Oreochromis niloticus: one gene and its partners. The protein of the gene in region 3 interacts with the protein of the main gene of each other region in a biochemical or structural test. Links are inferred from orthologs where the notes say so. Each region holds a gene or a part of one and is shown on either strand. Other genes may lie near its edges.

Region 1 (7,857 bases), on a different chromosome or scaffold from region 3:
GCTGTAATTGCAGCAAAAGGTGGTTCTACAAAGCATTGACTCAGGGGGCTGAATAATTACGCACACCCCACTTTGCAGTTATTTATTTGTAAAAAATGTTTGGAATCATGTATGATTTTCGTTCCACTTCTCACATGTACACCACTTTATATTGGTCTTTCACGTGGAATTCCAATCAAATTGATTCATATTTGTGGCTGTAATGTGACAAAATGTGGAAAAGTTCAATGGGGCCGAATACTTTTGCAAGCCACTGTAAAACAGGAAACACGAGACACACGCTGAGACACGGACTTGCCATAGGGACTGGGAAAGAACAGGCATGAGAACATACCTCACTGGGCGAGACACAAGCAACACAGGGAGACTAACTAAATCCAAGAACATTCAAAGCAAGACACACAAACACTGGGTTCCTTTTACCCATGACCATGCAACGCGTTCTCATCCCAACACGTAACATACCGACATGCGACAAATCGCCGGTATGCTACGCGTTCGCAGGCATGAGATCCAGATGGAATTAAACTATACATGTAAATGTCTTTTACATATTGATCATGAAGCCCTTTGGAAAACACATCTGACAGGGTTATGTGTTGGGAATGAGAATACTCTGGAGCATGACAGGCTCTTCTTTAGGCTGTCGTGGGTTTTCCTGGGGACCTAAATCTGGATTACACTTGGATAAATCTGTTGCATTCTTATTTACAAAGCCTGGGGCATTTATTGTTCAAAAGAATGTCGTGGTAGCAGACGAAACTCAAAAATTCCAAATCTGTCAGCAGGGATTTGGGCTTGTTGTGTCTACAATCATGCAGCAGATGTGATGAAATCTTTGGGACCTAATGTGAACATGTCACTCAGTGGGAGACAAAAGGAAGAATCTGTTTGGGCGTCACATGATGATGATTTATCATCTCAGGCAGCCAATCCAGGTTCTCTAGCTTTTCACTAAAAGGATTTTAATTTTCACCAATCACGAACATGGATGGCTGTAGAGTTAAGAACAATCTGTACTCCCAGACAAATCCAACTAAATGACAACATACCAGCATGGTGAGCAGGTTTATGAAATTGCAGAGTAGCATACACAACCGAGCAGCTCAGTAACTGATAGTCTCTCATATTCATACTCAACCAATAAAAACAAAGACCTCAAAACCTCTGGCAATGTGAGCTCTGAGAGAGCTTAAGTAATGGAGAGATCTGATTGGTCAATAAATGGTGGTTTTACATGTAGGATCTCTTGTCTTCAGCATAAGTGCCTGCTGACTTAACCTACCCAACACGGGCAGCAGCATAATTTATGTATAGAGTACAGGCCTGTGAGGTGAGGTTAGAAGCTGCTAGCACACGTGATTAAGCTGTCACACCTGTCGGTTCTGAAGCAAAGCACGTTTTAGCAACCGGATATGTGATCTTCAATTTAAATGAAATGTTTCCTGGTCAGAAGCTGCCACCTCATCTTATAGCAAACATAGCATCCTGATCTGACACTAATAGTGCTAATGTGACCAGCTCAACGCCATTTCCTGTGGCAGACTCTTAACCTTTTGGTGTGACCCTCCTCTGTTAGTGCTCAGCTTGGCTGCAACCACACAGAGCTATATTAGAAAGCAGCAGTAGTTGGTCCCAGCAGTTGTTAATATCTGATCCCTGATCAGCTTCTTCACTACAGTCAGCTGGCCTATAAATAATGTCTGCTGGCTTACCTTAAACTCTAAACCCAGTCAGTGCTCCGTCTTATAAAACCCAACCCTCTTTACAACTATTAAAGTCTGAGTCGCATTTAGCGTGGATAATGTAGCATAGTAATGCTAACCTCCATAATCACAAGGTGCTGCTGCAGTGTGAAACTCACTGATACACGAGATCAACGACACCATCTGCCAGAAAGATGTTAAAGAAGCAGCTCTGGTTTCTCAGACTTACACATTGGGCAGTAAATAAGAAGGTCCAGAAAAAAATCAGACTCCACGGTCTCTGCGTCAGACACTTCAGACGCTCCTGCTTGTTTAAACTGTGAACTAATGTCATCTTACGCTATCATTCCCTCAAGCATCTTTCTTGACACGTCATAAAACCATGGCAACAAGACAAATTTATTTTACCTTTTTATATTTCTAGCAGCAAAAGCATGAAGTGAAACAATCAGAGTTCATCCTCATAACTCGATCTTACAGACACTCAGGTAGCAAACACGCCAAACCTGCAAGCACAGCCCACTCAGCTGAACATTCCTGTGAGGCTTTAACACAAGTTTCAAGTAGAGAGGCTGGTCACTATAGAGGGAATTCAAAAGTCCAAACCTGCCTGGAAAGATTAAATGACTGATTCTCTGTGTTTTTGGTTTGTTTTTTTAACCACCATCTTTGCAAAAAAGAAGAGCAGTTTGATTAAAGTGAGTCTACTTTTGATTTACTTTGATATTTTGTTTCATTTAAGCTAAAAAGTGTCTGATGATGTGCAGATATGATGACAGAGGGTATCAGGTTAACAGCAACGCAACAGGTGTAAGACACACACACACACACACACACACACACACACACACTGTGTACTGAGAAGCAGGACAATAAGGAGGATCGGTTGTTTCAAAGTGAAAACTAAAGCATGAAATGTTGTTCTTACATTTAAATCAGAATCCAAAGCACTTTGAATCTTTGGTGAAAATTGTAACTTTAGACATTTTTAGGAAAAGTTATTCAGACTATCAGATGAAAATGTCTCTTTAATTATTACAAAAAACTGCTCCATAAACAAACGAAAGGTCAACAGAACCTATAAAATATAAAATATATAAAATCTATAAAATCTTATGTTTCACTTCACGTCTGAAAGCATAAAGTTCAGCCTCACCTGCTTCTGCTGTTTCTTCCACAATAAATCCAGTAAACATCGGTCACAGCACCATGCTGCCTGTCCGTATCTCTCTCTCTGTCTCACGTCTTCTGGCCTTGCCTTACTCTACGTCTCTTACTGAAACTTGAGAGGTCAGGTAGTGTGTCAGCACACACTCACACACACAAAGCCACATGTTCATCAGTTCCCATCAGAACTTTAGAAATTCCTTTCTGACAACATAAAATTATCAACCCCTCATTTAAAATAATAAAAGAGACATTTAGTAAGATCAACAGATTAATTGGTCAAAAATAGATTTGTTTTTAAAGCTGCATGATATATGGCATGTATTCCCATTTGAGACATGACAACCGAGGAGCTTAAATCTAAAATGTCTCTTGAAAGCAGAATCTCACCAAGGATAAGTTAGATTCAACGTAGTGCTAAGTTTTTATCACAACAGTCATAAAAAGGTTTTATGCAGCCATGAGAGGAATTGAAAGTCCTGCAGCAGCACAGAGTCTGGGTCACGTGATCACAAACTCATTTTAAATACATGCATAGAAATAAATGAAACTGTCCATACACTCAAAAAAATGAATGAGGTGGATTGTTCAGTGTATATTAATTGTTTATTTTCATTTTACTTAAAATATATTTTTTTGTTAAGTTAACATATGTTTTTCTAATCAAGTCTACGTAATTGTGTCTATTATTCACTGTACATAATACTAATGTGTTACTTGATGGCATAACATTTAAGTTAAGTCAATTAGGATCAATATACTTTGTATATCCACTAGGTGGCAGTAATGCAAAAACAGTTGTAATGAAACCGCGAAGAACAACAATGTTTCACGGCTTGGGCCTGCTCATTCGCAAGACTTCAAATTTAACTTAAAAACGTTGTTTTGGCGCCAAGCTGCTGTTTCTTTGAGAGGTAAGACCACTTTTTTCTTTGACTATGTTTTGTAGTATCTACATGTCGAGCATGGTTATATTTTGCGTTTGTCTTATAAGACATGTTATATCGTTTGCGTGCGCTTGTTCTACAGTGCGTGAATGGGTGAATGACTGAATGTAGTGTAAAGCGCTTTGGGGTCCTTAGGGACTGAGTAAAGCGCTATACAAATGCAGGCCATACATTAGTTTTACTGGGTCCTGGACATGCTTATTTTGTGGACTGTGTAAGAAACATTTTTATTGTTTTTGGTTTTTTTAAGGGATTAGCTACAGGGGTTCATGGGGTTATTTTTTCATTTACTTTCTTGGGATTCCTTTACTGTAATCCGAGAGTCATAAATATCGAATAGGATAGCAAGGATAGCATAAAGTGACATTTAAAATCCAAAAAGTCGAGGGCGAAAGCCACTGTGACACCATTGTTATGCTCTATCAGTAATTTGTATTATGTAAAAATGGTCTGTAAATACAGCATGTTTCCTAGCGGAGTTATACACATCAGCATAGTTATAAATTACAGTTTGTTAAATCACACACTTACTTTTTTAAATAAAATTATTCACAACATATGAGTGGGAAGACAATGGAAGTCGACAGACCTGGTGATAATTGCTTCTATAGAAAGTTAGAACATGGCAGTGTCAATCTCTTGCTTTTCTTCTGAGTAGTATTTTATTTAGTTGTAATACAATCAATAATTTGCTTCTTGAAATTAAGTAATGAATTTCTTGTTTTACTGTATAAATTTCAGATCCTGCCTTTACCTGATGTGGTGTATGTGGTACTGCTGAGCTTGTATGTGGTATGTGAACTGTTATACTTTTAAAAACAAAACTGTTTTATAAGTTAATTTTTCTTTAGTGACCCATCCCATGCCCCTGTTATTTCTTCTCCAGATCTGAACCATTGTAAAGGTTGCAGTTCAAGGGCCTGAGGTATGAAATTCTTTTCAGATCAGCTGTGATCAATATTTTTTGGAACTTGATAAATAACAATAAAAGCTGTGATGGCTCCATTAGCATTTTGTATAAATGTTTGTGTTAAAATTATAGCTTTAATGAGGTCTTTCTACATTAGTTAGGGTTAGGGGTTAGGATGAAAGTTTGGGCCCCTCCTCCAATTGGAGGCGGGCGGTGCACGGGCCATCCCTCGGTAAGGTGCCTGGACCCCGGATTGTCCACGGCGTCTGCCATAACGCACCAGGGTCCAGTCTGAAGTCCATCCAACCATGGTGAGTTGGATGGAGGCGTGTGCTTTTTAATTGGTTTTCCTACCAAAATTTAAATTAAATTTTTGACTTAAATTTGTAAGTTTTAACTTAAATTTTAAAGAAATAAGGGTTAGGGGGGTTAGGGTTAGGGATGTGGAATTGAGTCCGGTCCCTGAAGGGTCCAGACGGTGCTCTGTCCATCCCTCTGCCTCTGCCGCTTGTCCCCTGCTGGACACGTCTACGGGAAGGCAGCCGCCCTCTCCCGTGACGCACCACCGTCCAGCCCTCCGAGTCCATCCGGGACCCCATGTCTTGAATTTTTAATTTTTTGTTTTCTGTGTCTCTTGATGTCGCCTTTGTTATCTTTATTTAATAATTGTTTTGCTGTGCTATTTATGTCAGTTAGATATGAAAATGTGTATATGAATTTACAATCACAAACAAAGGCGAGAAAAAAGAAAAAACGTAAATGAAATTTGTGTTTTTAAATAAAAATAAAAAATAAATGAAATTAATAAAGTTTTTTAATTTTTAATAAGTGAAAATCAATGAATTACTGTGCCCACTGCCGCGACGTTTCGACCCAAGATAGGTCTTCCTCAGGCTGGGGCACAATGAATTTTAAGCTGGGAATGCACAGAGAGAGAGATGTTGTCTCTTCAACGGTCAGCTCCCAAATGAGCTCCTCTCTGCTGTGCAGCCTTTTATAGGCTTGGTTTCGTGTACGTGAGTTTTTGAATTTTGGATTTGGCAATGTGTTTTCAAATGTCTGTGATGGTTTTAGACTACAGTGAATGTGTGTTTTTTAACCTTTGTAATGAAATTGTATTTTATGAAATGTATTTTGTAAATTATGTCAATTTTTAAGAATTTTATGTTTTTGAAGTGATGTATATAAGATTTAGAAATTTGTAGTTGTATGTTTTAATCCAATTAGGTTTTTATGAATTTTTTAGGTTTTGCAGAGAAATATATTTATAATTTTAAACTTGAATGAGTATGTTTAGTCACCGAATTATGTTTTTATGATTTTGGGGTTTGTATATTTAAGCAATATTGTGTTTTTAAGGGTTTTAATAAAGTGTGTGATTTTAATGACTGTTGTTGTGTTTTAACTGTAAATTATGAAGTGATTAAAGGGGTCATAAATCAAATGTCATGTTTTTAATGGTTTTAATAAAGTTTTGATCCCCAATATGTCCCAATTCCCCATTTGTTGTTTGTTGTACATAATTTGTGATATGTAATAATACATTGTTGTTTATTGTAATCAAATATTTATTTATTTATTTATGTATTTAGAGGAATTAACCCCCCAAAAAATGGTTAGGATGAGAGTTTGGGCCCCTCCTCCAATTGGAGGCGGGCGGTGCACGGGCCATCCCTCGGTAAGGCGCCTGGACCCCGGATTGTCCACGGCGTCTGCCATAACACACCAGGGTCCAGTCTGAAGTCCATCCAACCATGGTGAGTTAGGGATTAGGAATTTGAGCTTTCGTTATTCCATATCTATGGTTAAAGTGCACTGGCAAACAGAGGTCCGTAGGTCTCCACCCCATTACTCCTGCATCCTCTGTACTATATGACTTTTGTTCTCTACCATATCTCTTAGTGGGTCTTTTAGTTGACTTTATTTCATTATATATTAGAAATATAAACACATTATATACTTCTTTTACCCCCGTTTCATCTGAAAAAAGAGGGGGGGAAAAAAAGAAATCTATTTTTTTATATTTAAATCCTATACCATCTCCCCTTCCTACAGAAAATCAGTTTACAGTGCTCTTATATACAGTGTGATTGTTAAGCAAATCATGCCTAGGGGGGAGGCAGTGACTAAATAGATTCCACAAACTATGTACATTCATATAATATGATTTATATTTCAACTATGCTTGTTATTAATCATCAAATTATTTACGATGATCTTACTGCTGTTTTTAATATCTATTTTCCCACAGGTGGCAAAATTATCGTCCTCTATTTAGAGGTCATGACCTTTAAAACCAGAATTCCTGTCATCTCAGGAGATATTATGGTTCAGGTTCTTATACTAAGGTAAGTTGAAATGGTTTTTTTTTTTTTTTTTTTTTTTTTTGGGAGAAACAGACCAATTTACAAGACCATTGCAATGTTATGTATATAAGTTGACCCCCAGAGGCATACAGTAAAATTAAATTAGTGCTAATCATTTAAAAATCGATCACATCTCTGCAGTGTGAATCACTTTATTCTCATAGGAAGAAAAAGACATCAGACAGCCTATCAATATCACACTATTATCTCCAATTTAAACCATAAGGAAATCTGCTGTTCAGTCTCCCAATCCACAACTCTTCATGTCTCCTCCTTTGTCCCTCCATCCGTGTTGCACAGGATTGTATCCCCAGGATGCCCAGGGAGTTCAACGGGTGTATGTGGAAATGTTGGACCAAGGGAGTGTGTAATCTGCTTTCCCCAATGCTGTATAGGTGTTGTTTTAACCTCTCTACGAGAGTCTGGCCGGTTTCCCCAACATATATCAGAGAACACTGTTTACAGACAATGCAATACACTATGTTTTTGCTGGTAGGCCTAAATCTTTCCAAGATTGGCGCTCCAGCACCACCGTGTGGGTTAAATAGGTATTGCCTCGGATTTAAAAAATACTGTTCTAAGCTCCGTTTCCTCCCCTGCCAGTGGCCCCCGAGTTTTGTTCGGACCAGCATATCTCTCAAATTTTTATTTTTCCGGTTAGCTGTTATCACCCTACAGTTATGAAAAGGCTCTATGTCGGTTAAGAGACTATTGAAATTCATTTTAAAGGTGCTATTTAAAGGTAAGTATGAAATAGAGTA
Region 2 (7,777 bases), on a different chromosome or scaffold from region 3:
AACATCAACTGGCCACATGAAGACTGGAAAAATGTGCGCCACATTCCTCCAGCGTCTACAGGGCTTTACGCACGCGCATTCACGCGTGGTTCTGTTGTCAAAGAAACACGGGAGTGTTTGAAAATAAAAGTGAGGGTGTCGTGCTCGGAATAAAAGTGTTTATCTCGAGATGGGACCTTGTTTAGTGGCATATATTTTCCATTAAAAACGTGACTGGAGCTGTTTTGATCATTACAAGGTTGTTTAAAAAAAAATCATTTTCACACACAAGCTGTGGGCCACATACCTTGGAAGACATCCACATCATGACGATCCTCCGAGCTCGCAGATAATCGCAGTCCTCTTGGGGGGGTGAGGCGGGGTGGGGGGGAAAGGAATTGTGCACGAAGTCCAGCAGACAGGAGAGAAAATTGCTCGCAAGCTCCCCTCCAATGAGTTTCCACGATGAGTCATTTTTGCTTTAACTTTCCATCTGCCTCCTTGTAAAGGGATATTGTCATTTTGAGGTGCTTTAAATGAAACTGGGGAAAACTGCTGTCACCGAGGTTCCAACAAGCATGTCCATACAAAACCTGGGGCGAGTCATTTCTCCAGCCATTTTATAAACTGATAATTCCTGTGCTTAGCTCTCGCAGTGGGTCAGCAATACAAGGCTTTTTTTTTTTTCTTTTGGCCTGTTGTGGAAAAACATAGTTGTGTAGGTGTCATAGAAATAACTGTAGCCCTGGTTTACTAAATGCTGTCTTATCAGTTAGCTTTTCTTTAATGTTAAATACTGGAACAGTTACAAAAGACTTATCCGTATTTTCGTTTCCAATTTTTTCTTTTTTCTTTACTTTTACTGGCAGCATATAAAGGGGATTATTAATATCCTTAGTCTGCTCTCTGTGAGGAAGTTGTTCAAACATTCTTTAGCGAAGTGGTCAGAGGATTACTAAATACGCGCCACTTTCATGGCCTACAGCTTCTGTCTCTGAATACAAATCTGCCAAAACCCAGCGCAAAAAAAAAAAAATCTACATTAGTGCAAACAGATTTTGAACTTTATTGCATAACAGCAAAAACGATCCCTATACCTCTCTGTTATTGACAGATGAAACTCATAAAGTGCGAATGCATAGCCTGTCTTCACTAGAATTTCAATTTGATGTCAGATTTGGAAGCCCGCACAGCTTAGATGAACAAATAGACTGGTGTGTGGTGAAGATGGTTTGGGGGAAAGGCTGCTGTTAGAGAAGTGCGCGATGGTTAAAAACAGGGGAAAGAGAGAGATGAAGCATAACAGCCTGCCAATCAGTGGCATGAACGTGTGTGTGTGTGTGTGAGTGTGAGTGTGTGTGTGTGTGTGTCTGAGGCGTGTTTCAAACTTGTGTTGGGGAAGTGTGAGCGGGAGGGGGTCACCTGCTGTTGGGCAGAAATGATGTTTAGAATTATCTTTATAGGGCGTGTTCTTCTTCTTCAGGAAAAATAATTAATAATAATAAACTCTAATTGTAATCACACGTCAGTCTGAATGGATTTTGAGTTAGTACTGTTTTTTCTGCTTATGTCTGTGCCGTTTCCTTTACTGGGGCTCTTGTCCAGCCCGCAAAGCGACTCCGTCACCCCCTCCTCCATTTCCATATACTCCGCTTTGTCGCCGAGCGAGGAGCCAGAGGGCGAGCCTTTGAATTTTCTTAGAAAGTCAGGGAAGTACGGGCAGCCCGGGGGCATGCTCTCCACCACCGGCGGCTGGTCCTCGTTATCGGTCTCCCTGTGATAAAAGTAGTTGAAGTTGGACACTATGACCGGCACCGGGAGCGCAATAGTTAACACGCCCGCGATCGCGCAGAGGGAGCCCACTATCTTCCCACCCACAGTGATGGGCTTCATGTCTCCGTAACCCACTGTGGTCATGGTCACTACGGCCCACCAGAACGCGTCCGGGATGCTCGTAAACTGCGAGGTGGGTTCATCCGCCTCAGCGAAGTACACCGCGCTGGAGAACAGGATGACACCTATGACCAGGAAGAAAATGAGGAGGGCCAGCTCCCTCATGCTGGCGCGCAGGGTGTGACCCAGGATCTGCAGCCCCTTAGAGTGCCTGGACAGCTTGAAGATGCGAAACACCCTGACGAGGCGGATTATTCTCAGGATGGCGAAACTCATCGCGTGCTGTCCGTTGCCCTGATGCTGCGCCAGGTCCGTGCCGAGAGTAATGAAATAAGGCAAAATGGAAACAATGTCTATGGAGTTCATAATGTTTTTAAAGAAGTAAGTTTTGCTCGGACTGGCAAAGAAGCGAACTATAATCTCAAACGAGAACCAGATGATGCAGACCGTTTCCACGACGAAAAACGGGTCGTTAAAAGGTGTAAATCCGTGATCGGGCTGAGAGGAGTTGTTTCGTGGCTGTAGATACTCTTTGTCATCCCTGAACTCCGGCAGCGTCTCCAGGCAGAAAATCACAATAGAAATGACAATAACAAGGACGGACACGACCGCGATCCCCCTGGCAGGGCTCGAGCTCTCCGGATACTCAAAGAGCAGCCAAATCTGGCGCTTGAACTCATCCTCCGGCAGAGGTTTCTCCTCCTCTTTGACGAAGCCCTCATCCTCCCGAAACTTTAGTATCGCCTCCTCCCCGAGTTCATAAAACTTGACCTCCTCGGAAAATATGTCAAATGGGACGTTGACTGGTCTTTTTAAGCGCCCGCCTGACTGGTAGTAGTAAAGAATGGCGTCAAAACTCGGTCGGTTCCGGTCGAAGAAGTATTCGTTCCTCAGCGGGTCGAAGTACCTGATCCTCTTGTCCGGATCTCCCAGGAGCGTGTCCGGGAACTGAGTGAGCGTCTTGAGCTGAGTTTCAAACTTCAGACCCGACACGTTGATGACAACTCTCTCGCAGCAGCCGCACTCGCTGTAAACGTTTTCATATCCGGACTGGGGCCGCCTGTCGGTGATCGACACGGTCTCCTCCTCATCATCCATGTTGCACAAAAAACTCGACCTTTTGCTCCCCCGGTCCCCCCCGCCCCCCTCCCCCCCTCCTCCTCTTCCTCGGCTCCTTCGGCCTCTTCCTCCTCTATCATGATGTCCTCCTCGGATCCGAGCAGAGCCAGCTCGGAGTGGCGCAGGTCCCCGCCGAGAGTGCCCCGGTTCCGTCTCCAGCGTCCGACGCCGCGCTGCTTTTTCCGCTCTCGCACAAATCTCTGCTGCTGCTCGGGCTCCTGCTGGTTCTGCTGCGAGGAGGAGGTGGAGGTGGTGGTGGTGGTGGTGGAGGTGAAGGAGGAGGAGGAGGGGCGCGAGGCGGTACCGCCGCTGCTGATGTTGGCGTTCGCGGAGGAGGCGGCGCGAGACTGATGCTGGCGGTTGTTAAGGAGATGAGCGCTCGAGGAGGTGTTGGAGGTGGACCCCCCGACGCCACCGCAGCTACCTCCTCCTCCTCCACCACCTCCCTCCGTGCACGTTCCACCTTCGGCAGCAGCCGCTGCGGCCGCCGCTCTGGTGTGGGCAACCTGGCGCTCCCTCTCGCGCTCCCTCTCCCGCGCGCGAGCCTGGGCATATCCGTAAGGCAGGTGGCTGTTGCACCCACCGTCCGCGCCCACCATGGCAAACTCCATTTTAAGTCAGTGAGCGCTTCGGTCCGCGGACGCTTACAGTAAGCGCTCGCGCGCTGTGATGTGGACGCAGACCAGAGGACAAAAGTTGCAGCTCAGCGCGCGCAGGGAGACAAAATGAGGCATGAAGCCTCTCGACCAATCAGTCGTGAATGCGAGAAAGTCAGAATAGCAAACACACCTCAAACGGGTCCATGCTGAGCGAATCCCATGTATCCTACTTACATGATACTGATTGCCATCTCTTCCAGTTTAGGTACAGCCCCCCCTTCCTCCGGTATTTCATGACATCATTACCATATCCAAAAAAAAGAAGAAGAAGAAAGAAGGAAAAAGATCAGATGTAAAGGCCGGTGGCATAGCCTGTTACGCAGACGCTCGGTCAAACTTGCAGCGCCCCTTATTTGCTCAGCATTGTAAATCACCAAGTCAACAAGCGACACCAAAACAGTCTCTCCTCTGTTTCTCCGGTGCCCATCAGGTGGTTAATTTCTCCGCGAGCCGGGTTTGCGCCCGAATGCGTCTTTTGATCCTCCCTGGTCACTCATGGTTGCCATTTTAGGATGAGTTTAAAAGAGAGAGAGAGAGGGGGAGAGATATCTCCGTTGTTATTTTACACAGCTCCGGTGAATCTGAATGACTTTATTCCTCTGACGCTCTCAGGAGCTGCGAGAACAAGAAGAGAGGAGAAAACAGCAGTTGGTTTAGGCAAATAAAAACAAAACCTTCATATCGATGTGTGTTGTTTTATCGAATACACAATCAAAATACATCATGCTTATTATCATCATCATTATTACTATGGAGTGAACACAAAGGGATATGGAAGACATTTATGGTTACAATACAATTTACGCATTAAAGTATCCTCCCTTTATTCTAACATCCATACTTACATCTGAAAGGGGGCCAAAACGACATCGCCTCAGTCCCCCTCCCCCGCCCCCCCTCTTCACAAACCAATCTGATGGAGGAAGCAGGGGAAGGAGAGGCTAGGTGAGGATGCAGTTGTTCACTCTCGCTCAAATCCCCGTTATGATTTTGGAGGGTAACGCCGCAAAATCCCTCGCTGTATCCACGCAGCGACCATATCCACATCCAGTACACACATCCGTGCTCTGACGCACTCTGGAGAGGACACTTTTTTTGGCTGCGTCTCGACGTCTTGTCTCAATTCAACAGGATCTATCGCCACTTCAGCCTCCGTTTCTGCTGCATCGCTTCTGGTTACGACGAGAGCAATAATGTTACCCCCTCCAGAGGAGAAAAAAAGAATGAGAAGAAGAGGAGGAAGTAGCAGGTGTGCGCGTAGCGAGTTGGCATCAATGACAGCTCCACACGAAGACAAGATACGAGGGTGGGTAAAAGTTTACCTTCGCACGGGCGAGGGGGGATGGCTTCATGGTTTAAGTCTGAGCATCGCACATCTGTCTGTCTGCCGCCGTATCCCTACCTATACTCCTGGATCCCTCCCATTGTGTGTGTCTGTGTGCGTGTGTGTGTCTGTGTGATGATGGAGAGTCTCGGTGAGAAAGTCGCTCGTGTACCGCAGCTCGTGCAGGCGGTGCTCGGTCCTCCCCCAGTGGATGCAGCCGGTCACTGCGCACCGTGCTGCAGTCTTTCACCCGAGCTTCATCTGCCCTTCATGGTCACTGCTGGGTAGCAACCGGTGTGTTTGTGTGTCCCCACCATAAAAAAAGTAATACATTAACCTAACATTTTAACTATTCATTTTGCAGTCACCAACCACTTTCCTACAAATTAATCGGTGTTTTTGTTGTTGTTTATTTTCTCATATTAAATCAGAAAATGCATACATCACTTATTTACATACGTCCATATATTGTAACTAAAAAAAAGTGTGAATTTAAAGCACTGGAAATACTTTTCATACAATTTCACTTCACCTAACAATCGTTTAACATTATTTTTTGTTAATATTATCACAGGAAAAAAGGTTAGCTCATGCAACAACAAAAAATGTTCACAGAGGCCACAAAAACAAATAATTCATGTTCGCTGTGCCCGCCCTCCCTCTGATATTTGATTAGGAGAGCACTCGAAACAGAATGCAAAGTGTTCATTAACCTCCTCTGACCCAGCGATTCATTCTTGTCCTCTGTTGGGGGGACACGAGTCTGAGACCTCCACGAGCACAATTCATGCAATCTATTTGAGTCTTACTCAAATTTACTGTCAAGGAGACATCTCAGGGTTTCAAGTTTCCACATGGGCTTTCTTTTCAAAATGACCATTTCTCATATAATTTTTTACTAAATTTGCAAGAATTTCAAGCAAACTTTTTTCATTTGGTCATTATGGGGTATCATGTGTAGAATTTTGAGGTGAGAAATGAATTGAACCCATTTGGGAATAAGGCTGTAACATGACAAACTGTGGAAAATGCAAAGAACTGTGAATACTGTCCATTACACAGTCAGTGTTCTGTGTAGTGGACAGGAGGACTTACTCATTCCTGTTTTCAACCCATATCCACACTTCAAGGAGCAAAGGAAGGATTGAGGCGGAAAGGACTTTACTCAGAATTGTAGAAGGGGAGTCAGACTTCGTGCTGTCCGGTGATGAGGTGGAGGAGGACCAGACAGAGCAGGAAGGTGAACGCTCAGTGGAGGACATGCCAGCCCTTGGACCCTGAGCAGGGGATAAAGTGAGGGCACCCACCATGCCATTATGATTAAGAAGCAATGTGTAACACATGGCTGTGAAGTTTTTTGGGGGGGTTTGTGACGCACACACACATAAATGTAGAGCACATAATCAGTTAAAATTATGGGTTAGTACAATTTCAGGTTAGGGCTTTGCTGTATTTGGTTAAACCTTCACACACATAGATGGGTTAAACAGGTTATTTACTCTGTTGATTTTTATGTTTAATAACATCCATCCATTGCTTATCCTTTTCAGGGTCGTGGGGGGTGCTGGAGCCTATCCCAGCTGTCATAGGGCGAGAGGCGGGGTACACTGGACTGGTCGCCAGTCTGTCTCAATGCTAACACACAGAGACAGACTGGCAACCTGTCCCACATTCACACCTATGGACAATTTAGATTGACCAATTAACCTATCCCCACTAACTGCATGTCTTTGGTCTGCGGGAAGAAGCCGGGGTACCCGGGGAGAACCCACACAAACACGGGGAGACCATGCAAACTCCGCACAGAAAGACCCCGGCCTGATGGTGGGATTGAACTCAGGACCTTCTTGCTGTGCAGCAACAGTGCGTGTCACCGTGCTGCCCATTATTTAATAACATGTAAGGCTAAAGACCATGAAACCGTACCTCTTCTTTTTTTGTTTGAAACTGATTTTAACATGAAACATGAAAACAGGAGTGCGCACACCCTGGAGGCCCTCTGATTACATCAAACAGTAAATAGGTGTTCATTCATGGCATGATGCCTTCAGGACTCAGATATACTGGGTCCCATTTATAGCCAGTTAAATAAGTCAAGACAGATTCTTTAAGATTAGGCAGTCGTTCAAAGTAAGAAATGATCTTGATGTTTTACTTCCTCCTGAGGCCCAAACAAGAAATTGTTTTGATACTGAGATTTTTAACCACTGTGGTTGAAAGAAACACATTACAACAAATTGTTGTTTTCAAAATAATTTATTTATTAATTTATCATTTGTCGCTTTGATGGACTGCCTACTTTTGATGAATCTGTCTCGACTTATTGAATTCACTATAACTAGGGACCAGTACATTTGCATCCTATGTTATCTGACTCATGCCATCAACATGGATATGCAGAAGAATTTTTTTGATGTTAATGCTCCACCTATCTCCGTGCCGCTTCCTGTCATTTTGAAAAAAATATTCAGTGTGCGGGCAGCACGGTGGTTAGCACTGTTGCCGCACAGCAAGAAGGTCCTGAGTTCAATTCCACCATCAGACCGGGGTCTTTCTGTGTGGAGTTTGCATGTTCTCCCCGTGTTTGCGTGGGTTCTCTCCGGGTACTCCGGCTTCCTCCCACCATCCAAAGACATGCAGCTTGTGGGGATAGGTTAATTGGATAATCCAAATTGCCACTAGGTGTAAATGTGCGAGTGCGAATGGTTGTCTGTCCCTGTGTGTTAGCCCTGCGACAGACTGGCGACCAGTCCAGGGTGTACCCCGCCTCTCGCCCTATGACAGCTGGGATAGGCTCCAGCGC
Region 3 (7,331 bases):
GCTGAGTATGTGCTGGAGATTAACATGGCTAAAAATGCAAGCAACGTGTCTGACTTTCTGGGTATGGTCTCTTTGACATCTGACCTCGCTGCCACACACATACACATGCAAACATTCCCTGTCATTTAAGATGAGCTCTCCCGCCTCCTGATAACTGCCTTAAAGTAGGAAAAGAAACTCAATAGGACAGATGAATGGGTGTGCAACTCCACACGCAGTCACATAACATGCAGGGTGAAATGTAATCAGTTACTAATGACAAATTACACAACATCAGCTTTTTATAATTAGTAGTGGCTGTAATCAGGTTGAACAACTAAAAGCATGTCTTTAATCTCAAAAAGTGAAATAAACCAGAGCTCACAAAAGGAGCACAAGAAGCACAGAAATTCAAGTCCAACAAAGGAAAAAGACAAGACTGTATACATGCACAGAGAGATGCTCAGTAAGAATAAATCATAGAATCAGAACAAAAGCAAAAGGTTAAAGTACAAGAGGCACAAAGAAAAGTTTTTCCCACAGTAAAAACAGGAAGTGTAAACTAGAAAGACAAGAGAACTAACAGAGAGACAAAGACAAGGAAGCAGTGGGATACTACAGAAAGAAGAAGAAAGGAAACATAAGAAATGACATAAATAGAATCAAAACAGGAACCAAAACTCAAAAAATATCACACAGGAACCCAGAACCGCACTAATAGTTTTCAATGCAAACAACAAATTTTGAATATTCAGCATTTGCAGATTTAGAACAGATTTCCTCTACAAAAACGTTCAACTTTCATATTCTTTTTTTGAGTGTGCAAAGGGAGTTAGTTTGATTTGGGCTTTAAAAAGAAGATAAGAAAGTAGACAGCAAAAGGTTCAAAAAAATTGCATGCTTCACATTCCGACTAAGGAGTTTTTCTTTTTCTGCCTTTACAGACAAGTTCCATGAAACGCTGAAGCCCGTGGGAATCAAAGAGAGGAAATACATTCTTGCGCTGAAGAAGAGGGAGTGCCTGATGAAGGGCTACCAGTTTGATGAGAAGATTAATGCCTGGGACTTACCCTACTACATGAATCAAGTGGAGCAGCGCAAGTTTGCTGTGGACAAGGACAAACTAATCGAGTATTTCCCTCTTGATGTGGTGACAGAAGGGCTGTTTGGTATCTACCAGGAGCTGCTGGGTCTCATATTCACAGAGGTGGAACAGGCTGACGTGTGGCATGAAAATGTCAAGCTGTACTCAGCCCGGGACACTGAAACAGGGGAGGAGATTGGTCAGTTCTACCTGGATCTGCATCCAAGGTAGATTATGTGTCATTTTTTTCAGAGACAAGATAAGATCCTGTGTTTGATGTCTTTATGAAGTGTGAGCTCACTAACATTCACTAGAGCTCTTGATCTGTGTGATAGACTTCAGCCTGACTGTGACATTTCACCAGGGAGGGAAAATATGGCCACGCAGGTTGCTTTGGGCTCCAGCCTGGCTGCAGAGGCCCCGATGGAAAGCGCAGGCTGCCGGTTGCGGCCATGGTAGCCAATTTCACCAAGCCTAGAAAAGGTTGTCCTTCTCTCCTCCAACACCATGAAGTGGAGACCTATTTTCATGAGTTTGGTCATGTCATGCACGAAATCTGCTCTAAGGTCAGTCGCTATGTTCAGTCAGGAAGTTATTGATATTTATATACTGTGTGCTTATGAATAAAAATTAGTTTTTCTGTGTATGCGTCAGACTGCTTTTTCAGAATTCAGCGGAACAATGGTGGAGACAGACTTTGTGGAGGTGCCGTCTCAAATGCTTGAGAACTGGGTTTGGGAAAAGGAGCCTCTGAGAAGAATGTCCTGTCACTACAAAGATGGTACCTCCATCCCAGACGAGCTGCTCGACAAACTGATTGCCTCCAGAGTTGCTAACACTGGTCAGACACCTAAACTTTGCACAAAAAAGTCTGTTACATTTATGTGTAAGTGAAGAGTCTCTGTTGATGTGTTCACTTCAGGGCTTATGAACCTACGTCAGGTAGTCCTTAGTAAGGTGGACCAGTCGCTTCACACCAGCCCACGTGCAGACACTGCTGAGGTGTTTGCAAAGCACTGCCAGGACATCCTGGGTATTCCTGCTACACCAGGTCAGCTTTAGCTTCAGCTATTTAGAATATATTTGAGAAATTATTGCATTAGAATTTCTATCAGTGATGCGGATTTACATTTTATAATAAACAGTCCACTCTGGGCATTAGTAGTTTGTATTCAGTGTTTTGTATGAAGCGCACAGACACTATCGTTTTTCTTTTTTGGAATTTGTATTAGCGATTTGTAACAAAGATCTGCTCTCTGCAGGAACCAACATGACAGCCAGTTTTAGCCACTTAGCTGGAGGATATGATGGTCAGTACTATAGCTATCTATGGAGCGAAGTCTACTCCATGGACATTTTCTTCAGTCGTTTTAAAAAGGAAGGCATTATGAATCCAAAGGTTGGTTTTCTGGTTGAACATTTCACTCTAATGATGTCTTATTTTTCTTGAAACTGTCTTTATATGTGCATTTATGCCCTGAACACAGGTTGGAAAAGAGTACAGAAGAGTGATACTGGAAGCTGGAGGCTCTGTGGATGGGATGGACATGGTGAAAACCTTCCTCGGACGTGCGCCGTATCAGGATGCCTTTTTCCAATGCAAAGGACTGGTTAACTCACAAGAAGCATCAATGTAATCTGATGTGATCTTTAACTGTTTTTGTCATTATTATATTATATCTGGATGCAGGTAAATGTCAGTTGAGAAATAAGGTATTATTACTATCTTCAGGATTTCATACTAGAGTTCTGTCTGCCTTTGTTTAAATGTCCAGTACATCACGACAGGGCCTCGTCATGACATGTTCAATGTGTTTTACAGCCTTTTTAATTCGTCATGGCAGAGGTGTTACTAAAACAGTAAACCAGGGATGTCAAACTCATTTTAATTCGAGGGCCACATACAACTTCATTTGATCTTAAGTGGGCCAGACCAGTGAAGCTCAACTACACATTAAATCCATCAGATATCTTCATATATGAACAAGAAGTGCAGTTTCTACAGTTTGTCTCATTTTTATTTCTACAGTTTGTCTCATTTTTATTTCTACATGATGAAAAAATTGTGCCATACTAAATACAAGCACAATTTTGGGGGGTTTAAATTGTAAGAAATTTATAAAATTACAGAAAAGGTTCTGGTTGCTCATTGCCAGGACTGTCCTGTAATTATAAAGCAGAAAGCTTTTGTTAGTTCAGAGAAAATGATCTGTTTCTCTTTATTTTGTCTTACTATGAACCAATTGAAAAAAACATTTCTATAGTAGTTACTGAAAAAATGGGAACTACTTTTCTGTCATTTATTTGTTTATCTTTTACATAATTACTTTGGTGTTGTGTGGATGACCATGGTGCTGTAGAACTCATGTCCATAATTTAAGCCCTCCACATTTTCCAAAGCCATCCAGCAGGCCAAATTGGAGTCCTTGCCGCCGTTTCTGGCCCCTGGGCCCTATGTTTGACACTCGTACAATAAAGAATGGATATTTCTTTATATTAAAGAATATGAATAATATGGTTTCCACAATAGTTCTTTTTCGAAACATACATTCTCGTCATTAATTTCATTACTTATGCCATCACTTCTGCTGTGACATGTCAGAATTTCCTTCCATGCAGTGATCAGATATGTCAAGGGTACAAAAATAGTAACAGCAGGCTTAAGTTACAGGTATCCAAGTATAGGCGCTAACATACCCTTACTAGATTTACAATATAGTCAAAAAACTGTTTTCAACTGCTTCTTTCTGCTGCCACATTATATTACATTTATCAGCTACCTACTCTTGGTGGCCTGACAACTTCATTAAGTCGTTTAGAGGGTTGACACTAGACGTTAGACTGTTCAAGCCTTTTACGTTGAGCACACCCGTCAAACATTATGTGGAAAATTCTACCCTTGAAAGGCACTTGGCTATTTTAATGGATATATCTTTGAGCTATCTTTAAATCTCCAGAAAAAAGGCCATATTATTCTATTTAATTTAAATTTCCAGTGAAATGCAAAAATCTTCGCTGGAGGGCGCCACGACATAACAAGAGTAATGAAGGCTGCTGCAAACCGTACAAACACCTATTTTTTGTACGTTATATGTAAATGGGTTTAATAAAATCCCTTGTCGGTCTGGTTTGTATACGCATTTGCAGTCTGTGTGAATATCCTGTGTAGCCTATTTGAAAGGGAAAACAGTGTCAATAAGTCAATGCACAGAGGAAGATAAGCGGAATCACTAGCAGTGTCTGGGTGAGATAGTGAAAGCGTCGTCCCCGGGGCTCGGTGAGGCTGGAAAGGCGACTACTGGTGGACAGCTTTCTCCATGTACCCGCGGAGGTCGCAGAGAAGAAACTCGCCGCTTCGTGCTGTGCCCCACAGCCTCAATGTAGCTTCGTTCCAGTCAGTAGAGCTGCGTCTATTGTAAATGAGCAAAGACCTGGAAATTATGAGCGAAAACATCTGGGTGCGGCACACTTTAGAGGAAAAGGTTTCGCTGTGCCGGAGGTGGTTCGCAGTTTTGCCTTTTGTATTTCCTTGCTGAATGTAGTGGACATTTTGGATTTTTTTTAATGTTGTGTCATTAATTTGCATCAGTTAAGGACCATTTTTGCGCTTGTCTTCGTCGTCGGTTAGTCTGGCTGTGCCACAAGGCAATATTTTTATGTCTCAAAACAACTGAGAGGGACAACGTTAAACTTGAGGGCGGCTCGCTGAGGAGAATGTACGCACTGGGCCAGCTTCGAGTTGCTCTCTAAGTAAGGCAATATTAGCTAGCTGCTAACACTAGCCAGACCCAATTGAACTGTCGTGAAGCAAACCAGTGAAACCAGCTAATGCCCACTTCTCAAGGTGTTTGTTGGGTAGTATCAGCCTTCACATAAGCTGGATATCATTAAATGAGACGCTGACCCGACAGTAACTCAGGTAAGTCTCTTTGTTTGCGCAAGTTACTGCTTCTGTCTGCGGGGCCCCACACAGCATGCTAACGCTAGCTGTAGCGTTGTATCGCTGAGGTCCCATTCTCAGGTTGTCCCACTTGAAGTCTCGCATTAATGCGGTTGATTTTAAATGTGGAATTATACGATAATGTATTATCTGGGTGCTTGTAGTTTAGTAATGGCTGTGAGAGCATTGTTGGTTTAAAACAACAGGTTTTGGACTGTATTAACAGACTTGAGCATCTGTGTTTTCGGAAGGTTTCGCATCAGCAGCTGTGTATGCTGTTGCCCCTTTGCGATGTAGCTCACTTGGCACTAATTTATTCGCTTTAGAAAGCGGTGTAGTACATTTAAAGCTGTCAGTCTATAAGTGTTGATACTATTCCTAAAACCAGCCATTAATAACTGCGCCGCAATAGCAACACTCGCATCTTTTGTTGCGCCTACACCGTCTAGGACGGATTAGCGCGCCGTACTTATCAACATATTGGCGTTTTCATTTTCTCGCCGCTTCATTAATCAGATTAGTGTCCTCACTTAACTCCACTGTAATTTAATCCCGTTAAGATCCGGGATAAATTCAGGACTATTCTGAGGAATTTCAGCAGGTCTGTCCTTGCCTGTCGACTTGTTGTTAGTGTTCGTCATTCACCGCTCTGGGAAATGGTGTCAGGAGATGCAATCAGGTTGAGTCTCAGGGCACCTTGAAGGCAACGCTCAGGTAGACAAGTAATAAGCCCGGGATCGAGTGTCGTTAGTAAGATACCTAGATTAAATCCGCTAATGTGTCAACTTCTTACTGGAACTTAATTGACTATAAAGTACAGTTAAGAGGTGAATCGGAGATATTTCTGCATCTGTGTAGATTATCTTAGATTTCATAACATAACTTTACAAACGTACTGAACCAGGTGGAGTGTTGCCAGAGATAATATTTTGTAGTAGATTGAGATACTAACTATGGATGTCATGATAACAGATTGTCATTTAATGAAAAGTAATATTTAAACTCAAAATTCAAGTGCGTGGAGGTATCAAAGGCTACTGCAACCATAACTGTGCGAATACATACACAACTGCAGAACAATTACATGTTCATTTTCAATACGATACGTGCATTTTGGGCACAGTGTTTTGTAATTGAATTTTTCAATCTCACATGAATGTCTTCCAGGGTGATTTAAAACTCAAACGTTGAATTTGGTATTTGGAGCTGTCAGTCAAGCAAACAGAAACCTTATCAGATCAGTCTTCAAAGGCTCTCCCAGCTGTAATAAAATGTAAACAAAGACTAGGCTCGATCTTCCCCTGCTTGTCAATGTTATGGGCCCGTTATCTACAAGCTGATATTCAGCTATTTGGAGAAGATTATTCAGGTATTGGTAATGAAACTGACTAAAAGTGTATATATAGTGTAAGCAGAAAATTGCCCGAATTTTGGATGTTTTCCCAAAGGTGTTTGTTTACACTAATTTTGTATTCTTGTAGACACATTTCCACTCATCGGGAAAAGCTGTGTATTTGGTATATGGATATTTTGTATATCACTAACAGAAGTGTGTGTCGTATTCTTACAGTACACTGGTTTCATTGAGGTATTGAAGGCCTGTCATGGCATTTTGGTTATCAAGTTCCTCATGTGATCATTTACAACAGACCTTATCTAGAACTGAAGATAAGGTTCACTGTAACAAAGGCTCTTTCCTCTACTGTTCTTTTCTCGCACAGGTGGCAAAGAAGTGTTGTTCCACTTGCCTAAAAGTTTGTTGTGTCAGTCGGAGACAAGACACTGCCAAAAGCAGTAAAACTGTGTTTCTTATCTTTATTATACACCAGACATGTTGGCATAAGTGTTAATCCACAAATCAATGTCGGTTTAGCTGTGAAATTCTTCCATATCTCTATGTATGTTGAATTGGATATCCTTTAGTAAGTACACTGGTTCAAAACTATCTTTTTTTTCCTTTCGAAACAGCTCTAAACTGTTTGACTTCATGTTCTTAACAGAGTCTGGTTTACTTATGGGTATATCATGTTAAAAGTTTTTCTTAAACAATGAGTGATCCTGCTAAACTCAGAGTCAGCGGTATATCTACTGATGGAAAAGTGGCTGTACAGGCTTATCTATTTCTGTTTACATCTGGTGTCGGCTGTTAAACAAGTACGTAACATGGTGCTTTTCATTGTCACTGGATCTTAAGGTGTGTCTTTTCTGATGACGCTTTATACCACGTAGGAAACCTTTTTTTTTTTTTTTTCCTTCTCCCCCCTCCTTAATCTTCTGCTTCTGTGACCATACAAGTGCTCGTTTCCTCTTCAGCATGTCTAGCCTTGA
Region 4 (7,650 bases), on a different chromosome or scaffold from region 3:
AAGGCATTTTTGAGGCTCAAAATGTGGTTATAGTGTCAGGGTTACTATTAGGTTATGGCTAGGTTTAGGCTTAGGGTTGGGATTAGGCATTCATTTTTGATGGTTATTGTTAGGGTAAGCGGCTAGGGAAAGCATTATGTCAATGAGATGTCCGCACTAAGATATGAAAATGAGTCTGTGTGTATGTGTGTGTGTGTGTGAGAGAGAGAGAGAGAGGAGAAAAGTATACAACCAAAAGCACTGTATGAATGTCTGTGTACTTGTAATACGTTGGTCAGTAATGCTGAAGGACTATGATACTTACAAAGTCAATTTTTTTCAAAACCACAAAGGAAAGCCACCAAAAATACCAACTGTGTAGCAGATTTACCAGATGAGTTTTACCATTAAGACAGGAGCATATGCCAAATTATATTTGCATATTCTATTAAATTAATGTTTAGATGCACATAAGACAATTTTAGCCTTGTTTTTCCAGCTGCAGGCCAGGTGCTACCTAATGGTCTGAAAGCAAGTAAAAAATAAAAATAAAAACAGAATTCAGATGTAGATTTAGTTTACCAGCAGATTTAACATAAGCTCCACAGATGCAAACAGGTTCACTATATTTGTATTATATATTAATGATTACAGAATAATAAATATTGAAGTATATTGAAGACTATAAATCCACCAAGGTCTTCCTTGGTGGAATCTTCCAGGAATGGTGGCAATCCTGAGTATTGACTTGTCTGTAGGCAGGGAGTTTGTATCTGTTAATCTCTTATCTTTGACATAACCTTCTTCAGCACAGAAGAATAAGTTGAAGAATAAGTCTGAAGAATAAGTTGCCATGGCAATGTGCCCTAGTAAAAATCAAGCATAATTATTGCACTGAAAACCCAGGTTTAAACCTGAAGTTACCACTTGCTGCATAGTGCAGACCTTTGGCCTCAGATCTCACTACAGTGTCACCACTCTTTGGCTGGTCACTCCATACATATTCCTTACACAAAAGAGTGCACATACACAGACACCCATTATGGTGGTTTAAGCCTCCAATTAAAAGCATTTAATAATTTATCTGTGTATGTCCATGTTCCACTTGAAAGATTCGGCATGCAGGTCGTGGTATATCTAAGTGATAACTCACACATCAACTCAAGGTGTTCCTATCCAACGGACTCCACCAGTCAGTTGGATAAAAGTTTAAATGTATATAGAAAACTCAAGGAAGTCAAGTTGCTTTCACTTAGAACTTAGATAAACCTGTAGTCAGGGTTATCCCAACATTTAATGGAAATAATTAGTATTACTATAAAATTGTAATGAAAAAACCCAAGCATCAGGCAGTTTGTGAAATAGTCACAAAATATAAAGTCTTATTTTGTTAAATGGGCACAAATTTTCCATATTTTTGAGTTCTATGTGGCTATGAAGCAATAATATATTAGTAGGATACTTGATTTGGTTTAGGACAGCTGCAACAGCATGTACTGTCTTAGTCCTTGTAACATGTCATTTTCCTTGCTAGGCCTCCTTTAATCACATTACTGTTCCTTTGACCTTCTACTGGAAGTGACTTAGACAGTAAGGAAATCAGAGTCAGATGTAAACACTGATTTGTCTGAGCTGCTCACTTGCCATCCAATTGCCAAAGACACTTTTTAAAAGCAAGTGTAAACCTAGACCTAGACTGTTTGTATGATGGTTCACAGACAAAGCCTGCTGATCACAGTTTTTAAGTTTTAAAAAGTACCCTCATGTTCATCTGGAAAGAAAATTATAAGGCTGTATAGTGGGTTCGTAGATGATCTGTTGATGGTCAGTGGGGCGGGGTTGCAAAATACCAATTTAACGTGCTTTCGTTCTGAATGTTGAGTGTCACAAAAAAAAGATTGGGTGACGGTTTAGAAATTTCGATTTGCCACGAGGCTGAGATATAAATTAATTGCACAGTTAATTGCTTTAACAGCGCACCTCGAGGCCATCGGAAGGCTATCGAGTGTGAAAAGCCTGATCAGGATACATCAGTGTCTATTGAGAATAACTTAATTTGAGGCCTCGCTCTTTCAAAGCATCCACTTCACTCGGGCGTTTGCGTGTATACAGCACTATACCCAACAACAGCAGCACTCTATCAGTCAGCCGCCCCTTCTCCAAATAAGGTAATTAGAGTAGAGAAACCGGAAGACTCTCCATGGAAACTCACTTATAAACAGCACGAGCGAAAAACAATAGAGCAGTGAGGATGAGATGATTGACAGCTCGTGGCGGCTCGCGCTGCCTTTGACTGCATCCGTGAATGTTTACAACACGAGAGCACGCGCAGATATATTCAGTTTCATCCAAGCCTTCGCTGTTATATTTTTTTTTAAGCAGCATTAAATATATCTCTTCCCACCGCGCCACCCTAAAAACGCCTATTTAAACAATGAATGAGCTAAAGCTTTAACCAAATAACACCGAGTCCAGTTCATTACACTTCAGACGAGCACCTGCTCATGTCACTGAAACACAGCCCGCGGGTTATTGTGAGCTTTCCTGATGTTAATTGATATTTTTGTCACACTCGCCTCCTGCTGAGAGAACAGGATAAAACTTGCGAGATAATAACAGAGCTGTATTCTGGTTACCTCAGTTTCTCCCGGTCATCGTTGCTCCCCGCAGGCGAAGTGACTCCCCGTTGTGATGAGCAGTACTCCGAGCTTCACCGCGAACGCCGTTATTTTTGCCTGCAAGTTAGCCTAGCTGCTGCAGGGAGAGCCTACTACTCTCACAACCTGCCAAATCTCTCAAACTGGAGTTGGCAGGTTGCTGTCGGCGCGTCCCTTTAGTCGCTCCACATGCAGAGGGGAAGAAAAAATTAAAAATAATAACAAACAGTAAACCTAACCTAACGGGCTTTGAAGTTATTGGACGCACTCGAAGCGGCTAATAAATATATTAATTGGAGACTGCGAAGTTGTATTCTAGTGTATGAAAGGCAGAGCAGCATTTATCCCGCTCATCCACAACAGTGCTGGATGCTGTCGGTCACAGCGAGTGTCTCCGCCCCATTCAAACTACTATTGGAGGAAAATTAACCTTATTCGATTATTCATAAAAAGACTTGTTAGTTTCAATGAATTTACTCTTGTTATTACATTTAAGTTTTTCTGTCAGCGAATTAAAAAAAAATACTATTTTGTTAAACCTTCCATTAAATTTCATATACCTCTATATCAATTTTTCATTTCATTTTATTTTATTTTATTTTATTTTATTTATTTTATTTTATCAGTTTCATCTTGAATTTCTCTGTAAGCTTCTCCTATCTATTGATATGATATGATTGATGTCAATACTACATCGTGAAGCCCGCGGGAATACAAAAAAGACGTCTACAGAACATTTTTCAAATTAAAAGTGTTCCTTATTCGGAACAATGCTACCCTGTACTACAGTCTATGCGTTAAAACAAATGACAATATAGTTTTCAGTTATATCGTATTGTGAGGCATAATCATGTTAATAAAATAAACCCTGTTTGCCAAGCCGTTTTTTTCTTTAATAATTGTAACATTAAAAATACAGTTCTGACACTAATGCTTTTATTTTGAAAATAATGCTAACTAAATCGGAAACCCTATTGCTTCCGTTTACTGCGAGCTTGGCTGTTCTTGCTTTGTAAAACGACCAATCACACTGGAATACTGAGCATTTGCGCTTGTTTTATGTACGTAAAATCCAAAGGCGGGCGGGGTTAAGGTCACCTCACAGATAATAACCGGTCACGTCGGATTTTTAGCCTTATGAAACGACTGACGACACAAATCGAGGTCACTCTTTGTGAGTACTTCCTTTTAGCTGTCAACCCCGAGTGTTGATGGGTGGTGAGTACAAAGAGCCGACACAACAGCAGTAAACAGTGTAGAAGAAAAACGATAAGCCAGATATCATTTGCAGTATATTGTTTCGCACATAACTAAGTTTGGGTAGGTAGCTAAAGTTTGCTGGGTTTGTGTCCTCGTTATACTGTTAAGTATTACTAAGCTAACGTTAGCTAGTTATTTATAGGTGAAGTTATCCTGGAACTCATCGTTCACCTAACCACATTACTCGACTAATATTTTGTCTGTGGATATGCTACTAAGCTAGTTCGTTGGTGTCTAGCAAATATTAATGTCCTGCGACAATGCTAGTCGCTCGTGTCCTCGTATCATTCAAAATGTGTAGTTGATGTCAACTGTGACAAGTTGTCACAACCCTCTAGCTTCATAATATCAGCTGATTATTGGGGTCGGACTAGCGAGTCATTAAATGTCATTGTGATATATGGCTAAGTTTACGACTCTACTCACTTGCTACCTTTGCACTCATTACAGTTAGCATACTGTAGCTGATGACTTGTATCCCAGTCCTTCTGAATATGGGGCAGGACATGACCACACAATATACTGCAAAGACAGTAATAAAATGGGATTAGCATATTCTATAAGGGGAAACCGTTTTTCTTCCACATATAAACTCGGTGCTGTGTGAACACAGACAGAGAAAAAACCTTTGAGTGGCGTGTTCTAAGTCTGGAAACAATGTATTCAGAAAGTTTTCAGAACTTCATTCGCCTCAAAATGACGGAACAAAAACGTAGAAAATATGTTAATTAAAAAACGTGAATATCACATTAACTTTGTTTGATTAGAGGAGTGTCACCTGGGATCTATTTTCAGGTTTATACATAGATGTTTGTTATTTAATTTACAAACTGTCGGTGGGTTAAATCATGAGTCTGGGTGGGGATCCCCTTGGCAGGTTGAACGTCTTGTCTTCCCCCCAGCTTTGCCAACTCCAGTAGTCTATATTGTCTATTTTCTGGTCACTCACTCTTGTCGCTCTCAGGCGATGAGAGGACTTGGTTTCCTCAGGTTAGAAATCTTTTTTCTCATAGTCTGATATGAGGAACCTCCTTCTGCCTGCCATCTGGGCCATAAACCGGATATCACTGGAGTACTGCAGTGATGAGTGTCCTTTTGAAGGTTCTCTCATCTCCACACAGAATTTCAGTAAGAACGACCACTGGGTCACTTCTACTAAAGTCCCTGCTCTTTCGGTTGATTGGATGGCCTGGGAGTTCAACAGTTTTAAGAGTCCTGTTTATTCCAAACTGCTTTCATTTAAGCAATATAAAGGCCATCCTGTTCTTAGGAACTTTCCCTGCAGCAAAATGCTTTGCGTGCTTTGCAATGCAGCACTGTTTCTGATGACTGCAGGAACTCTGACTTGGCGTGGTTTTTACTCTGACATGCATCATCAGTCATGACTTCTATAGGCAGGTGCCTTTCCAAATCTAGTCTGGTTAATTAAATTTACCACAATTTCAGTCAAGTTTTTGAAACACTTCAAAGGAATTCAAGAGAAATAGGATTTAAAGTACACAAGGAGTTTTTTTTTTCTCATTAGTCATTTTTGTTTTTGCTGTGATATCGCAAGATGTGGGAATTAGATTGTTTGTTTTCTTTAAAGGGTATTCAGAATAACTCCTTCTATATTCTTCTCTTTGTCAGGTATGGCTAAGATTTAGAGGCAGATGTGAACCACGTGAAAGCCCTGCCATCAATCCCCAGCACATCCATGTGTATAATTTTCTTCAAGTTTGACCCCCGGCCTGCATCCAAAAATGCCTACAGGTAAGGCAGTTAAGTCATGCATTAAATATACAAGGACTTGAAGCAAGTTCTTGACAAACAATAGAGCTGTCTCATATGACTGTAGGTAATAAAGCAAAAACAAGGTAAGCACAAAAAACAGGTATCAGCAAACCCTCTCGAGGCATTGTCAGCCACAGAACTGCACACTCTGAGCAGAGATTTTAGTATCTTGCCTAAGGACACTCCAGCAGAGACTCTAAGTGCAATATTACTCTTCTAACCTCGTAAATCAAGTGTGTAGCAGCAAGTGGAGAAACATTGTGGTTATGTTAATGTTATTGCCACCTCTATGTGCTATGTTTTAGCCGGTGAGATGATAAAAACTATGGAACATTTATGTTCTTATGCAGATTTATTATGTAACTGTTTGTGCCGGTTTTAAATATTTTACTTGGAGCATGTTTCTCAAAATTCGTAGTTAACATACAGCTAACAAACTCTTGCAATGTTTTTTCACATCTTTGCTGTGATTCCCTCACAAAGCTGGATACTTCCTGCAACTTGGAAAGTTATAAACAGCCTCTCTGCCAATTTTATGAAAGCACTGACTCTTTGTGCAACCTCCGTGTGCCCTACCCAGCAGTAAATGCTAACTTCTTTTAGTGAGCAGCACAGATCAGTGTAGTACAAGCAGTCAGTGTGAGTTACAGCCTGATGGTATGTGGAGCCCCAGCTTATTATAATCCCCCAGAGCTTGAGAGCAAGCTCTCTGCCAGGCCATTGTCCATCTTTGTCCTTCCCTCTGGGAGTCTGACCTCACCTAAGGAGATCACAGCAGAGGTGTGTTATGAGTACTGACTCAGACCTGAACCTGGGGAAAGGTGAAACGCACTGTGTCCTAATGCAGTATCATGTCTGCTATTTATAGACTGTACTGGCTGCAGAAGTAGTTTTGATTTACACATTCGACTGAGCCAAAGAAAGGAATATGCAGCATGCTAAGATAAAATTGGATTGAAGGCAGAATTAAAGTTTCATTAGGTGCAATTATTAAAGCGCTCACAGCACAAAATGACAGGAATGGATCTGCGGGAGTTAAATGGGTTAATATTCCACACAAATGACTCGCTGATTACCCGCATGCTGAGATCTCTGTACTCAGAAACGCAATTTTCTAGTCTCCACTGTGTTTTTTTTCTCCAGCTGCTCAGAACAAAAGCACTGCAGCAGTCCGCCAAATAGCAGTGCAGTATGATTTTGACCTGGATATATTGTATCACTTCTCATTAAGGTTAGTCATTTAAACATAATATAAAAGCGCCACTTGCAATCCCTTCAGCCAAAAGATGATGCTGATGTACTAAACAAACAGCATAATGGCAGCCCTTCATAGAGCTTTTGTAATAGTTCTTTATCTCATGTTGCTCATGGCTCTTTGCAAGTAAATTATAGTATATGATAAATAGACTGGTTCTTATATAGCACTTTTGTACTTTATTTGAGCACTAAAAGAAGAATACAACATACCTCATTCACCCCACATTCATATAAGCACTTTCTTCTATTTCTTAGTGCTTAGAAAGCCACCAACCTTCTGATAGTGATCAGAAGGTTGGTGGTTGACCTGCCCCACCTCCTGAGCTGGAACCAATCCTAAGCATGTATTCATGATGTAAGCATGTTGACACTGTAACTGACCAGCAAATAAAATGACTGATCCTCTTGGGATACGGTCACTTTATACGATGGCAGCATGCCAGTTAGGTCATCACTCTGACCCAACCTCAAATGTCTTGACAGCAATTGAAGATGTCCATGCTTTTGGTTACTTTCGTTATCTCCAGAGGATGATAATGAAAGTCTAGTGACTTTGGGGATTCCTTCATCTTTCTAGACCCACCATGAGGTTAACATTAACATTCCTAGATGCAAATTTATCAAAGGCTCAGGAAATTATCCCATGGGAGCCACATGTGTTTGGATACATAAGTCACTGTGTTTGTTGAATAGAAAGAAATCAAAGTTGAGTGTCGATGAGCTT

The links.
Region 1: the proteins of erbin (region 3) and scn4ab interact in a test that uses a peptide from one of them, tested with the Homo sapiens proteins (2 studies listed by BioGRID and IntAct). The link is inferred for Oreochromis niloticus from reciprocal best matches to the Homo sapiens genes ERBIN and SCN4A.
Region 2: the proteins of erbin (region 3) and potassium voltage-gated channel subfamily A member 4 interact in a test that uses a peptide from one of them, tested with the Homo sapiens proteins (3 studies listed by BioGRID and IntAct, with this or other methods). The link is inferred for Oreochromis niloticus from reciprocal best matches to the Homo sapiens genes ERBIN and KCNA4.
Region 4: the proteins of erbin (region 3) and arvcfb interact in a test that uses a peptide from one of them, tested with the Homo sapiens proteins (3 studies listed by BioGRID and IntAct, with this or other methods). The link is inferred for Oreochromis niloticus from reciprocal best matches to the Homo sapiens genes ERBIN and ARVCF.

What each region holds. Positions count from the first base shown.
Region 1 is NC_031969.2:35,485,936-35,493,792, forward strand, and holds the start of scn4ab (sodium channel protein type 4 subunit alpha B), read right to left. Parts: upstream 3,008-7,857; 5' UTR 2,863-3,007; intron 1-2,862. UniProt on the Homo sapiens protein: Pore-forming subunit of Nav1.4, a voltage-gated sodium (Nav) channel that directly mediates the depolarizing phase of action potentials in excitable membranes.
Region 2 is NC_031965.2:10,259,422-10,267,198, reverse strand, and holds the start of potassium voltage-gated channel subfamily A member 4, read right to left. Parts: upstream 3,008-7,777; 5' UTR 2,971-3,007; coding exon 1,498-2,970; 3' UTR 287-1,497; intron 1-286. UniProt on the Homo sapiens protein: Voltage-gated potassium channel that mediates transmembrane potassium transport in excitable membranes. Forms tetrameric potassium-selective channels through which potassium ions pass in accordance with their electrochemical gradient.
Region 3 is NC_031972.2:13,430,103-13,437,433, reverse strand, and holds the start of erbin (erbin), read left to right. Parts: upstream 1-4,318; 5' UTR 4,319-4,982; intron 4,983-7,331. Other genes in the region: nln (neurolysin, mitochondrial), read left to right, coding at 1-61, 924-1,290, 1,428-1,629, 1,718-1,904, 1,986-2,114, 2,326-2,462, 2,551-2,700. UniProt on the Homo sapiens protein: Acts as an adapter for the receptor ERBB2, in epithelia. By binding the unphosphorylated 'Tyr-1248' of receptor ERBB2, it may contribute to stabilize this unphosphorylated state.
Region 4 is NC_031977.2:8,250,762-8,258,411, forward strand, and holds the start of arvcfb (ARVCF delta catenin family member b), read right to left. Parts: upstream 3,010-7,650; 5' UTR 2,616-3,009; intron 1-2,615. Other genes in the region: tango2 (transport and Golgi organization protein 2 homolog), read left to right, coding at 5,593-5,648. UniProt on the Homo sapiens protein: Contributes to the regulation of alternative splicing of pre-mRNAs.